2 linked regions of the Ovis aries genome follow. The protein of the gene in region 1 purifies or fractionates together with the protein of each later gene. This does not show direct contact. Links are inferred from orthologs where the notes say so. Each region holds a gene or a part of one and is shown on either strand. Other genes may lie near its edges.

Region 1 (6,787 bases):
TGGCAGCCCGCTGTCCACTCTGGGAGTGGAGTCTCAGAGGAGCAGAGCTGGAATCAGCCCCAGAGGCCGTCCTCACAGTTCGCCTGGGAGCTGATAGGGCCACGAGGAGACACACTCGGGGGCAAGCGTCAGGGTCCACCTTCAGGGTCCCTACAGCAGGCTGTGGACGCGGGCTCTGGAGTCAGGCAACTCAGATTGAAACTCCTGCCCCCCTGCTAGTAGAGCGGTGCCTGCCAAGCCTCAGGCTTCTGATCTGGAACATGGGAGTAACGGGGCTAGTGGGGTGGCATGCGAGAGCTCCGGGAGCCCAGGCGCCCAGCGTGGGAGCGCAGACGCTCAGTGGGGGCCAGGCCAGCTGGTCTTACCGGCACCCCTCCTCGCTGAGGGACTGAACCACACGTGCAGCCTCCAGTCTTTGGGGACCGAGTCAGTAACCTTTTTCTGTAAAATGACAGTCCTCTGAGACGTCCGGATCATCTTGTAAAGCCCCGGGTTCCCCAGAGCTGGTGCCCCTCACGTGTGGTTACATTTCCACTCTTTGATGTGAAACCCCGAGGCGCTGATGACAAGACTGCTGTGGGCGGTGGTGCAGCAGCACTTTGACTTACGGAGAGAAGTCAGTTGTGACCTTGAAGACAGCAGAAGGGAGAGGGGCGTCGAGATGAGGGCTCCTGGGGGCGAAAGTGTTGCAGCTGAAGCAGGAGCAGCCTAGCGCCTGTCCAGGGCTCGGGCCTTGTCCGCTGAGTCTGCGGTCCCGAGGAGAGAATCTGGGAACGAAAGCTCCTCGTGGAGGCGGGCGGGTCGAAAGGCACTTCACACTTACTTGAAGTCAGTGGTTCTCAGGTGATTCTTTGAGAGTCATCACATGTGTATTTCTCTTTCAGTCTCGAGAAACCCGAGAGATCTTACATTTCCACTATACCACGTGGCCTGACTTCGGAGTCCCCGAATCGCCGGCCTCGTTTCTGAACTTTCTCTTCAAAGTCCGCGAGTCGGGCTCGCTCAGCCGTGAACACGGCCCCATTGTGGTTCACTGCAGCGCCGGCATCGGCAGGTCGGGCACCTTCTGCCTGGCTGACACCTGCCTCTTGCTGGTAAGACATCCCTCAAGACCGCAGGAAGCAGAGGGAGCATGCAGTGACCGCCAGGCTGGCCTGGCCGCGGCCCTCTATCACTGTCTGCGGTCAGTCTGCTTTGGTCTTGACTTTCTAGCAGCTTCCCTCCTGTCAAGGGAGCTTTACCGTAAACAGCTTCATTTGGAGGAGTGCTCTTAAAGCCAGAGAATCCCCTTCCCTCACACTCTTCCTCACGCTCCCCTAGGACGTGTACAGTCATGTTGCCTCTGACACCCAGACCTTGCTCAGCTGTGTCTCCTCTCTGGCTTTCAGATGGACAAAAGGAAAGACCCTTCTTCTGTTGATATCAAGAAAGTTCTGTTAGAAATGCGGAAATTTCGGATGGGGCTGATCCAGACAGCAGACCAGCTCCGCTTCTCCTACCTGGCTGTGATCGAGGGCGCCAAGTTCATCATGGGAGACTCTTCGGTGCAGGTCAGCATTCCTTTTGCTTTAATCCGAGTGTGTTGGTTTTAAACTTTTGCCTCTAAAGAAGGAGGCTGTTCACTGTCAAAGTTGAAATAATGTCATGTGTCAGGGGAAAGAGCTAGACTTCATGTTTAAGTCTGTTTAGCTAGAAAGTTGTGGGAATTGTCACCATGTTCCAGTTTCTTTGAAGTGCTCACCCAGAGAGCATTAATAGGGAAGTTAGACCTAATTTTCCAAAGATCTCATCTTCCAAGGACACGGCTGGAGACCCGAGAAGCTGAAAGGCCCCTCACCTAGCCCTCACCTCTCCTCACTTGAAAGGGAGCAGATTTCCTGACAAATCACCAACCGTGAAATCTTCCTCTTGCTGCTTTTTCAAGGAGCAATGGAAAGAGCTCTCCCACGAGGATCTGGAGCCCCCACCTGAGCACGTCCCCCCACCTCCCCGGCCCCCCAAGCGAGTCCTTGAGCCACACAACGGGAAGTGCAAGGAATTCTTCCCCAACCATCAGTGGGTAAAGGATGACACTGAGGAGGAGGATAAAGAAGACGGCCCCATCAAGGAAGCAACCAGAGCCCCGTTAAACGCCCCCTGCAGCCTGGAAAGGTAAAGATGGTCCTGGCTTACTGGAGGGGGCAGGGGCGGGCAGCCTTCTCTTGGCAACTGGTACTTCTGTGTCCTTGGGGAGACGGAGACGGAGACGGGGAGACGGGGAGAGGGGCCCCTGCACCAGCCTTGCACCTCGGCTGGTGGGCGGAGCCTCTGGACTGAGCGCAGGTTGGCTGGGGAGAGGGACTGACTGCAGCAGGGGCCTGGCGCCACCTGGTGGTGCCTGTGGGAACTGGGGCTCCCGTCAGGTCTCCAGCCCAGTGTCCACGCGACAGAAAACAGGAGCCGCGCTTCGGGCAGGTCCTGAAACTGATATCCAGGCCTGACCACGTCCCTCCAGCCCCTAGAACTCAACCTTTTCGTGTAGCTTTGATTGTCGTTTTTGTTCCTTACGGTTTGACAAAGATTACTGAGCACCTACTTGTGCCTGTGAGAAATGAGATAATTAGAGCAGGGCCCCTGATCTGTGTTCTGGACCATCTTGTTGGAAAGGGCACAGTAGGTTGTGGTGGGGGCCCCATGGATGGGACTGTGCTGGAGGCGCACGCTGAGGTGGTCAGCCTTAGAGAAGAGCCACCCAGCCTTTCCTGGGAGGTCAGGGAGGGCTGCCTGCAGGTGGTGACATTGTGCCGGAGCTTGAAGGGTGGACAGGAATCAGCCTGAGCTCGTGGAAGCAGTGCCCTCAGTGCCTCCTGTTTCAGAGGGCAGCTTAAGATTAGCGCCCACTCTGCCCTCACATTTGTCTGCACCTTGCGATTCAGCCTGCAGCAGTTCTCAGCAGGCGTGTGGAGTGCAGAGGTGTGTAGGCAGAGGTGTTCATGGTGGCATCACCTGTAGTGGTGAGAAACTAGAGGTGGGTCGATTGTGTATGCAGGGCCTGTAGTGGTGAGAAACTAGAGGTGGGTTGATGGTGTATCCAGGGAGCGCATCGGGAGGGCTTTCCCCCTGTGCTGAATGCTCTGCAGCTGTTGAAAGGCAGGATCAGGGTGTATTCTTGTGGCCGGGCTTGGGAACGTCAATGCAGGAGTGAGCAGGTTGCACGCGGTGTGTGCCCTCCGGCTAAGCGTACCATCCAGATCTTCCCTGGTTACTTTGCCAAATGCTGGTTCCAGACCTGAGTCCTGGCCCATGAACCCACTCCCAGGGCCTTTTGTGCACCTCTCATTCTGGGGCTCTAGAGACACTTGTCCGGGGGAGCCTCCCAGAGCAGAGCCCGAGTGCGGGAGGCTGTGCCCGGCTTCCGGGGCCTCCGCTGACATTCGAGAGTGGACAGTGTACTCCCCCTGAGGGCTCTTCGCAGGCCGCGGGCAAGAGACGGAGGGGGCCCACGGCTTGTGCCACGTCGGGGTCACGTGTCCTGTTTCTTCATTCATGAAGACCGTGGGGCGAGGTGCCCTCCACATTCCATGGGTGAAAGTGAGGAGCAGGGAAGCGTGGATCTGGGCACTGAAAGCCAGAGGGTGCCAGGAGACCATGGAGCAGGCCAAACTCCTGAGTGTCTGCACCGGGGGGAGCCCGCACGCACCCAGGCCTCGCCCCGGACCCCTGCCCTGGCCCTGCAGTCAGGCCCTGGCAAGGAGGTGGTGACAGGCAGTCTTCCAGCCAGTGTCTGCGTTGTCAGGCCGTTTCCAGGGCCCTCCATCCCCTACAGTTCCTCCCATGATAATAGCATCCTTGCCGTTGTCTTCCCGGGCGAGTAACCCTTCTCTGCCCCCTTAACTCCTCAGCGCGAGTCAAGACACTGAAGTCAGAAGGCGGGTCATGGGCGCAGACCCTGCGCAGGGGGAGCCATCGCCGCCTGCAGAGGAGCGAGACCAGCCGCTGAGCCACTGGAAGCCCTTCCTGGTCAACGTGTGTGTGGCCACGGTCCTCACGGCCGGCGCGTACCTCTGCTACAGGGTCTGTTTCCACTGACGGACGTGCTGGCCAGACCGCCTGCAGAAAGCCTGGCCTTCGCCCGGCGGCGGCGCTCGGTGCCGGGGAGGCCCTGAGCCCGTCCGGAAGAAGCAGGCCAGAGGTTTTCAGAGTCTAGAACTGTGAGGGCTAACGGGAGAGGACTGGGGATTGGCGCACTGGGGACTGGAGGCGCTGAGGCCCCAGGAGTGGAGGAGTCTGATCTCAGGGCCTTAACCTATTCAGGAGTAAGTAGAGGAAATGCCAAATACGTCTCTCTCTCTTCCTTTTTTTTGTTCATTTTTGAAAAAAAAAAAAAAATAGAATTACAACACATTGTTGTTTTTAACCTTTATAAAAAGAAGCTTTTTGTTATTTCTGGGGTTGGGGGGAGAAAAGACCAGGCACCTATGAAACTGCCTTGTGCCCTTAGGTGGCCTCACCAGATACAGTTTTTATTTGATTTCCCAGGGAAAGACTCCCACACATGTACGAATGTAAACTCCCTTGGCGAAGAGGGTTGAGAGTCGGACCCCGTCTGGCTTGAGCACAGCCCCTGCTGCGGGCTTCCCCTACTGGGAGAAGGAGAGCAGCGAAGGCCGTCTCTAGAAATCAGAACCTGGCTTCTGCTTCTGCTCAGGGTGTCCCGCCTCCGTTTCCCCACACAGCCCTCCCCTCGCGGCTCCCCACTCAGGGTCCCCTGGGGCCAGAGGTCACCACAGGGCGGCCGCCGGTCCTCCACCCAGGCCTTGAGACCCAGATGGAGCAGGTACTGCTCGGCTCGGAATAGGAATCCTGTCTCGGCAGAAATCCCCCCAGTTGGAATGTGTCACTGTTCAAGTTAAGGAAAAGGTCGAGGAGGAGCCTCAAACCTCCAGTCACGAAAATCACCTCCCAAGATGATTCATTTTTTATTGGTTTTTCACATTTTACCTCTTTTCTAAGCAACCGTCTTTGCATCCAGTGGTTTAGCAGCATGCAAACAATTTTTTGTTTGGAGGTGATTTTGGGGAAGGTAGAGCTCCTGTGAAAAATCAAACTGTTCATGGGAGGCGGGGGCAGCCAGGGTGTGCATGCGTCTGCAGCTCTGCAGCGCCGGGCTTGTCTGAAAATGCTTGGTTTCTTTTCAGTTCCTGTTCAGCAGTGACACACAGCCTGACCCAGCACCAGCCTCGTCCGCCTGGCGGGCAGCCGCCGTGGGTGAGGCTACAGGCAAGGCCGCAGCCGCCCGCGAGCCGCGGGTCTGCACTGAAGCGGCCCTCCTGGGCGCTTGGTCTCAGCTGCACCATCTCCCCTTCCTCCCCCTCCCCTGCTTGGAGGACCACACCCACGGCCCAGTTCTGAGGAGGGCACAGGAGGGTGCTGTGCCCATGGCATGGGGCAGGGCAGCCTGGGTGGGCAGCAGGGCCGAGTCTCACGTGGGGGCCCACCGCCTCTCTCCACTCCATATTTATTTTCACATTGTTTCCCCCGAAGACATCCACAGTGCACTGGCATCTTCTTAAACCAGTAACATGTTCAAGGTTTTGGATGTCAGCCTTGCACCAAGGGCTTTATCCAAAAGTACAGCAGTAAACCCTCAGGTCGGGCTGGGAACGGAAGACTTCACCGCAAGCCTCCACGTAGACCAGTGCCCAGTAGGAGGATGGCTGGGAGCTGTCATTGTGTCGCAATGCTGTGGCGTGCTCGAGAAGGAGTCTGCATGTGTTCATAGAGCAAGGGGATAATGTATAATGGACACTTGGCTATTTAAGACATGGTGTGAGGTTCCTTTGTCCCAGTTCCTCATCTCCCCAGTTACCTGCTCAACCTTGACCTCAGCCACCACTCCCCCTGTGTGTATTAAGATGCATGTCCTGTCTTCCTGTGTCCCCATCAGATACGACGTGCTTGGAATACTTAGCGCTCTGCTGACTAGCGTGCCCCATGTATAAGTCCAGTTTCCCTTTGCACGGTCTGATCGTTACATGTCTGTGGTTCCTAAGACTGTTGCTGAAATAGTCGCCATTCAGCAGTGGAATGACGTTTTCCAGTAACAGATAGTTGCCTAATTCCTGGCACAACCCTCTGGTGACTTCCTGGTGAGGCCCAGCCTGTCCTGCTCCAGCTGCGTCCACTGTAGCTCAGACATTCCAAGGGCATGGGGAGCCATGGTCACACCTGGACATGTAGAGGATCAGGGTCCTCCCTCCCACCCCCCCCCACACACACACGCACCTTTCGGATCAGCCTCCACCACGCCCAAGTTCATACTCGCCTTGAGCGGACCGTGATTTGGAACCACGGCAACTGTCGGAAACCGCCCTTCCTGAAACAGCCTGTACGACAGTCCCTTCAAGTCAGCCTGGGGCCCTCTAGGTCCGGGTGCCTTGCTGCACGAGGCGTCTGCCCCCACCTTGAACTCTGGGGACTGATGGTGCTCAGGACTCCGCCTGCGTCGGGGGGAACCTGTGACCTCCACATTCAGTGGCTTTTTTTATCAAGAAAAAATAAAAGGCAGCTGTGGCTCACGAGCTGCTCTTTTGCCAGCATTTTCACATTTTTGCCTTTCACGTGTTAGAAGCTCTGCATAAGTTTCCGGGGGGGAGCATCTGCGGTGTTGCCCGCAGGCCCTGGTGAGGTGCGATGAGGCTGGGGGCCAGGCTGCAAGTGTGTTTGAGTTGGGCTTGTCCGTCGGTTCTGTTAAGTCCTGTATGTGTATGTAGTAGTTTGGGTGTGTATATTTAGTAGCATTTCAAAG
Region 2 (8,025 bases), on another chromosome or scaffold:
CTTTTTAAAATTACTTATTTATTTTATTTTTTGGCTGCATTGGATCATCTTTGCTTTCTCTAGTTGCAGTGTGGGGGCTACTCTTTTTCGATTTTTTAAAAAAATTATTATTTTTTTAACACCAAAAACATTTTCTGCTGGGGTAACTGATTAACAATGTTGCTGTAGTTTCAAATATATAGGGAAGGGACTCAGCCATACATATACATGTATCCATTCTCCCCCAAACCGCTCTCCCATCCAGGCTGGCACATAACTTTGAGCAGAGTTCCATGTGCTATCAGTTCAGTTCAGTTCAGTCGCTCAGTTGTGTCTGACTCTTTGCGACCCCATGAACCGCAGCACGCCAGGCCTCCCTATCCATCACCAACTCCCAGAGTTCACCCAAACTCATGTCCATTGAGTCGGTGATGCCATCCAACCATCTCATCCTCTGTCATCCCCTTCTCCTCCTGCCCTCAATCTTTCCCAGCATCAGGGTCTTTTCAAATGAGCTAGCTCTTCACATCAGGTGGCCAAAGTATTGAAGTTTCAGCCTCAACATCAGTCCTTCCAATGAACACCCAGGACTGATATCCTTTAGGATGGACTGGTTGGATCTCTTTGCAGTCCAAGGGACTCTAAAGAGTCTTCTCCAACACCACATTTCAAAAGAATCAATTCTTTGGTGGTCAGTTTTCTTTATAGTCCACCTCTCTCATCCATAGATGACTACTGGAAAAAGCACAGCCTTGACTAGACGGAACTTTGTTGACAAAGTAATGTCTTTACTTTTTAATATGCTGTCTAGGTTGGTCATAACTTTCCTTCCAAGGAGTAAGCGTCTTTTAATTTCATGGCTATACAGTAGGTCTTTGTTGGTTGTCCATTTTAAATACAGCAATGTGTACATGACCTTCCCAAAGTCCCTAACAATCCCTTCCGCCAGCGGGGTCTACTCTTGATTGCAGTGCATGGGCTTCTCATTGCCCTGGCTTCTCTTGTTGAGGAGCCCAGGTTCTAGGCACGTGGGCTTCAGTAGTTGCAGCACCTGGGCTCAGAAGTTGTGGCTCATGGACTTAGTTGCTCCGAGGTATGTGTAATCTTCCCAGACCAGGGATCTAACCTGTTTCCCCTGCATTGGCAGGCAGACTTTCATCCACTGGGCCACCAGGGAAGTCCACTGATGCATCTTGAACAAGGGTATTTTTAGAATATCTTGCCCAATGAATCATTCATGTCTTTTCTCTGAACTATAGTCTACTTCCTAAATGTATCTTTTTTTTTTTTTAAATAAAATCTATTTACTAACTAGACATATTTTGGATTAACCTTGAATGCCCTTTCTTCACTGCTAGGAGCTCCAAGATGATAATCACTTTCTCCCAAGTCCCTAACACTTTCACAATGCTATGCAATTTTTAAATGAACTAGTAATTTTCCCTTTTGCCTTCTTGAGTGATTCTTGTAATCTGTATCAAGAAATTGCCAATTTATATTGAGAAAACACCTTAGGAAATCACTGTTTTGTGGGCCACTTCAAATGGGCTACTTTAATATAGGAACTTGTTTTCTGATTGACACACTTGATTTTTTCTCCTTTCCTCAACTAAAGACAGGGACTCACTAGTCACTGTACAAAGCTGTCTAAATGCTAAGGATTTCTGTATCACAGGCCCTAGCTGAAGAATGCTGTAATCTCTAATGCCCTTCTTATTCCGGGAGTAAGGCCAACATGATCACAATGCACTCTTGTTATGGCTGAATGTCCCTCTGCAAAGAATAGTGTTTCTCAAATGTGTTTGATTAGAGCCACATTAAGTAATACATTTTGTTTCACTTCTCGGGGCACACAGATCCAAAAGACTGGTATAAACATTTCTCAGAACAACTCCATTACACGTAAAGCACCCTGAGATTGTTCTATTCTTCTATATTTCGTTAAAAAAAAAAGTGATGGTCTCCATCTACCAAACCGATATATAATCCCCTAGAGGTGATAATTTATGGTTTAGAAAACACTGGCTTGGAAAAAGACTTTTGATTTGTAGTCAGTCTTTCCACATTTCCGTACACCTCTGAGAGTTTCCTACAGTTGTTTTCCTCTAAAGGATTACTGCGCCCTCTGTTTTGTGTAAAGGTTCTGTGATAGGGCCGGTCCCCTTCTTCCTGGCTCCTTTAAGAGGATGGTAACTGCCCAACAGTGGAGGCGGAGTGGTGAGTCTCAACAAGCCCCTGATGCAGCCCAGGCCCGCTTTTCCAGTTCTTGTGAAAGCCTTGTGTGTGTGCGCGCGCGGAGGTGGGGGTAAGGGTGAGACCGCGGGATACACAGACGGATTGTTAAGAGCGAGCAGCGGCAAATAGAGCCTCAGGGGGCGTCTCTGCGCTCGCGTGCCCGGCGAACCCAGGAGGGTAGGCGCGTGCGCAGAGCGAGTCTGTTCCGGCCCCTGTGGCGCCTGCGCGCGCTCCCGCCGAGCTAAAGTCCGGGGTGGGCTCCGGAGCGCGGCCGGCGCGGCGGCGCGCGCCAGGGGGCGGGCCTGAGCGGTCGGCACCGCCCTCCCTCGGCGCGCTCCTCTCCTCCCAGTCTCCCTCGCGCTTCCTGCACTACGGTAGTCGCTGCTGCGTCCGCCTCCCCGGTCCCTTCCCTGTCTCGCTCGTGCTGGCTGTGCCATGGCGGCCTTCAGCAAGTACCTGACCGTGCGAAACTCCTCGCTGGCGGGTGCCACGTTCCTGCTGCTTTGCCTGCTTCACAAGCGGCGCCGCGCCCTCGGCCTGCACAGGTAAGAAGGCCCGTGGCCGCGCCGCCTTCCCGGGCCCGAGCTGGAGCTCCCCGGGCGCTCTTCTCCTTCGCCCGGCGGACGATCCCCTTTGCCCCGCGGGGTCAAGTGGAGCCGGGGCTGGCCGCGGGCGCTGCCAGGCTCCAATGTCAGGGTGTCCGGGTGTCCCGCGACGCGGGAGTTCTCCGTGCTCCCTGCGCTCCGCCTGCTTGTCCAGTCGCCTACTCTGTCCCCGGGGGTGTGAATCTTTTTCTTGCACCCGCTAGCAAACCTGTGCCTCTGACCCGAGGAGTCGCCCCCCATATCCTCCCCTTTTTACATCCACTCCACCACCTCCTTTTTTGCATCAACTTTCTGGGTGTGTTGCAGTTTTGCCATCTCATCTGATTGTCAGTGGGTTTGCTTTGTGGACGGTTATGTGTGATTTGAGGATGGGGATTGGACGCACACGCTGGAGGCTGTTGTTTTAAGTCAGTGGGTGAGGTTTGGCATGAATCCTTAGTAGTTGCCATTGAAAGTCGCTAGGATGGTTCTTGTGAACTATCCCGGATCCACTTCAAAGTTGCTTTCTAAAGTGCTGTCCCCTTGGAGTTGGTCAATGGACGCCCTGGCATTTCAGCCGAAAAGGCCGAATGGGTTCCGAGGTATTTGGAGGGCAAGGTTCCCTTTCCTGATTCGCAGGTGGAAGGTGCAAGTGTGCTTTAGATAAGGGTTAGGAGCTCTTTGGATTATACGCCGTTGCTTCTCCTTCGAGAATTTTAATGTTTAAATTTAACTTTGGGAGATTATAAGATTAGAGAAGGAAGAGAGAATTGAGTTACTTGTTGTGGGGTTATAGATATAATTTATTTGCTTCAGCAAATGAATGAGAAAAGGCTATGTCAAGCATGCTTGCCTGGAAAGTATTGGATATTTCATATTGAATCTTGGCATCGTGTTTTCATACATTTTATCTCATTCATTTCTTTGGGCAGGTATTGTTGACTTCTCTTTTGATTTGCCTATTATGTCTGATTAGTAGTAGACGTTGGTTTAAAACATTGACAAGTGGGCTTCCTTCCCATGAAGTTCTTCCTAAACCTTCCCCTGTCCCTGATTTCTTTATCTTATTAAAGTCTGAAGTAGTGGCCTTTCTTTTCCTTTGTAAATCTGCTTAACAAAGTTGAAAATGATTGGCATCTTCGTCAGAACAGTACAGAGCTTTTTCTTCTATCCAGTTAGCTGTTAAAATGACTTATTCTGGAAAATGTAAACAGAATTGTAGATGAGATTGTATGTTTTCTGAGCTCCCAGTTGCCAATGGCAGTTATGCATTATCTGGGAATATGCCAGTAGAAAATATTGAATGTTGTAAGATAACTTTCAATTACACTTTTGTGGAGAAGTATTTCACATGGAACAGGTGTTTTATTATGGGAGAGGGGGATTTGAGGACTGCCCTAACAGCTCTGGCTTGCTTTTATGATTTTTTTAAAAAGTAAAAACATTGTTTTATTGTAGAATTACATATTTGTAGAAAGTTACATGTTAGTGTAGGGCTTGAAGAATTTTCACAAATGAAACTCACTCATGTAATCATCACTCAGATCTGCACCCAGTTAAGAACATTGTCAGCATCCCAGAAACACTCTCCAAGTCTTTCAGGTCCCTTCCAGTCACAGCTAAAGTAGTTCCTGATTAATAAAGCCATAGATAATTGAGTGAGGGAAAGTTTAAGCATAATCAGATGGGAAATAGTAGTAATAATAGCAAAACAGTATGGTATAGTCTGGCTTAGTAAATAATTTTGGATGTTTATGCATTATTAATGTAAAAGGCTGTATAGATCTCTTTTTGAGAAATTTTGTAAACTTTGGAGGGGATTAAACTATGCAGCAGTTAATTTACTAAACAAAAGATTCTTGTTAATTTTTTGCACTGGCGGTACAGTACTAAGGAATATCTGTATTTTACGCATTAAATAGTTTGTGGGAGGGGAATGCAAATTATGAGCAGATAAGCTTGAATTTTAAATTACAGAAATAAAATGGTTGAATTATTTTAAAGTCATGAAGAATGGTGTCAAATCTATCTTTGTAGATAATATACTTCCAGAATCACTTGGATATCTTTCAGTTGCCGTCTTTGGCATCATAGTGTTGCAGCCACTTGTTCCAGCAAGCAAACTCACTCAGAAGGACAAGGCAGATAGTGGAGTGCAGTTATTACACTGGCGGGCCCAAGGCAGAGTCTCCTCTTAGCCAAGGACCCCAACCAGTTTTTGTGAAAACCTTATATACCCTGAGTGTACATGCCCAAACCCACCTCCCCAAATTCCCTGAAACTAGTCTGAACAAAGGAAAAGAAAGATACAGTCAAAGTTAATCTGGGATTCATTTGCCTTAAGCCTCGGTAATTAACAGTGGACAATTATCAATAGGCCTGTGGCCATACCCCAATAAGCATAATAAAATTTATGATTCTGTTTGGTTACACAGATAATTAGGATATTCTTTTAGGCTATGGAGAGTCTAGGTACTAGCCCTGGGGCTCTTACATCCCGGGGGTCTGGTTTTCCAGTTGGTATGTCGTTTCCATAGATAACTGGGCATATAGCTCAGTCCACAAGTCCAGCCCAAGAGGGGGTCCTGCTTTCAAGATGGAGCTTGTTCTGTCTGTTTCCTCCTTCAATAGTTTGATGATTAGAAAATTGTAACTTTATATTTTACTGGCTTTTTGGGTATCTTCGGTAACAGGGCTAATTAACTTTACCATCTAGTACCTAATTAAGGAAATTGTGACTGCTTGACCTTTATAGCTTGTCTGTGCTATTGACAGATTTGTCTTAGAAGATATTCCTTAGAACCAGATAGGTAATAAAGATAGTAAAATCAAGATACAATGTTACATTATTCCAGACATTGGGAGAATGAGTAATTTAATCTTCTGAGTAGTTTTTTAGTTATATATGATTTGACTGGGAGAAATATACTTTTTATTACAGAAAATCTCACATGCATTCAAAGTAGGCAGAATAATTTTGTGGACCCCCGTACACTCCACACAAAAAGTACTGTCAACATTCTATCATTCTTGTTTCATCTATAGCTCCTTGCTCCCTACCCTTATTTTTTTTTAAAGATTTTTAGGTAAAATTTGTATATATTGAGCTGTACACATCCTGTGTATTTTTAAAATAAATAGATGGCAACAGTTTAACACATTCCTTTCGTAAAATTAGAATCTTTTCATCTCCCCAGAAAGTTCCCTCGTATTTGTTCTATATGACCACTGTACTAACTTTTTCACCCTAGTTTTGATTAGTCATACATCTTATTTGTTTATTATTTATATGGAGATTAGTGGAATCATTTTATTCATGGATAAAGGAGACTCATGTATTCAGTTCAAAGGAATTCTCTGTTTCATAATGTATTACCACACTAGGTGCTGTGGGATGGAGGTGTGTCACACATACATTCAAAAAATATATGACATCTTTAAGTGTGAATTAGTCAAAAAGGTAAGATGATGACAATGCAGTGTACAGACAGTCAGGCCTTAGAAATTTCTGAAAGAAGAGATTAATATGGTTGGGAAGAGCTAAGGAAGGCTTTCTGAAGGATATGAGCTAAGCCTAGAATGAGGGTAGGAATGAATGACTGGAGATAAATTGAATGTTAACAGAAGCCTTTATCAGATTTTTGTTGCATTTTATGAGGCATGGTCGTGCTCTTTCCATCCATTGTCCACTGCCACGAGAGCTCTTTTTAAGAAACACAAATATGGTCGTGTTATTTCATCATTCAACTCTTTCAGTTCAGTTCAGTTCAGTCGCTCAGTCGTGTCCGACTCTCTGCGACCCCATGAATCGCAGCACGCCAGGCCTCCCTGTCCATCACCATCTCCCCGAGTTCACTCAGACTCACGTCCACTGAGTCAGTGATGCCATCCAGCCATCTCATCCTCAGTCGTCCCCTTCTCCTCCCGCCCCCATTCCCTCCCAGCATCAGAGTCTTTTCTAAAGAGTCAACTCTTCGCATGAGGTGGCCAAAGTACTGGAGCAACTCTTTCAGCTATTCTAAAATACAGAATTCTTAGCATGAGAGAGTGGTGTCGTGATCTGGTCCTCTGCTACATACTCAGCCAGCCATATGAAATTAACAGTCTCTGAGCGGGATGGGCTCTGCCCAGCCGTTGCAGTCTAACTGTAATCATTCTCATCCCCACCACTTCTTCCCACCCTTTGATGTTCATTTTCCCTCATGACTCAGTTCAGCTAGCACTTTCTTTTAAATATTGTCTGTCTTTTCCTGATCTCCAGACTGGTGGTGTGCCCTCTCAGGCTGCACTAAGCATTCCTCTACTCTGTATTGTACCAGCTTATTTTCTTGGCTTCTGCCTGCGTCAGACTGTGAGTTTCTGGAGGCTCTGGACTGAGTTATCTTTACGTTCCTAGTTTGCCTATGTCACAGGATAGACATTCAGAAGCATTTATAGGGTGGACAAATGATGCAGGGTAGTTGGAGACTTTTTAAGGATAATTGACAGGCAGTTGGAGATGGGGTACTAGCACAAACATGAGTTAAAGGCATTATCTTCAGAGAGGTGATAGTTGTGTGCCTGAGATTGTATAACAGGAACTGGGGGTAGGGGAGGGTAGGAAATCAGCGGGCCAGTTTTAGAAGGCAAGGAAGGGACGAGTCAACATTGCTAAACTATTTTATAATCTTAAAAAAAAAAACAAAAACAGAAGCAGAACAAAGCAGTTTTCTTTCTTTTCCCATGAATACTTGTCAAAGTTCAGATTTCATCCTGGATTTCAGAATCTGCCTTTATCTGGTCTCACCTTACCTGGCTAATCTTTTATTCCATTACCTGTTCCAAATAGACCAGTCTCTGCACTGTTTTCTGAACAGGCCACACTGCTTCTTGGCTTTGGAGCCTTATTCATGATTTAGCTGTACCTGGAATATCTCTTCCTATATTCTCGGTTCTTCAACTCTTATCCTTTAAAGGTTAGGTCAGGGTCAACTTTTCCATGAAGTGTTTTTAAACAACTTTTAATCTGAATGATAAGCATCCCCCTTTAGTCTTATGAACCGTGTGTTTAGGTACTTTTTTTGTTTCATCTATTAATTGTTTGACTGAGTGTGATCTAGTTGTTGGCCATCAAAGTGTAGCCATGTTCACCAGCTTATGGGGTGGTCCTTCGTCTTTTTCAAAGCCCCAGTCTATAGATGGTAGGAATAGCCAAATGTTTCTGAAGAGTTTCAGGAAGTTGTGTTTT

What was found.
Region 2: the proteins of PTPN1 (region 1) and ABCD3 purify together in Homo sapiens (affinity purification with mass spectrometry; 3 studies listed by BioGRID and IntAct, with this or other methods). This does not show direct contact. The link is inferred for Ovis aries from reciprocal best matches to the Homo sapiens genes PTPN1 and ABCD3.

What each region holds. Positions count from the first base shown.
Region 1 is NC_056066.1:78,594,170-78,600,956, forward strand, and holds part of PTPN1 (tyrosine-protein phosphatase non-receptor type 1), read left to right. Parts: intron 1-884; coding exon 885-1,094; intron 1,095-1,388; coding exon 1,389-1,550; intron 1,551-1,924; coding exon 1,925-2,151; intron 2,152-3,881; coding exon 3,882-4,068; 3' UTR 4,069-6,787. UniProt on the Homo sapiens protein: Tyrosine-protein phosphatase which acts as a regulator of endoplasmic reticulum unfolded protein response. Mediates dephosphorylation of EIF2AK3/PERK; inactivating the protein kinase activity of EIF2AK3/PERK.
Region 2 is NC_056054.1:71,537,080-71,545,104, forward strand, and holds the start of ABCD3 (ATP-binding cassette sub-family D member 3), read left to right. Parts: upstream 1-2,578; 5' UTR 2,579-2,649; coding exon 2,650-2,759; intron 2,760-8,025. UniProt on the Homo sapiens protein: Broad substrate specificity ATP-dependent transporter of the ATP-binding cassette (ABC) family that catalyzes the transport of long-chain fatty acids (LCFA)-CoA, dicarboxylic acids-CoA, long-branched-chain fatty acids-CoA and bile acids from the cytosol to the peroxisome lumen for beta-oxydation.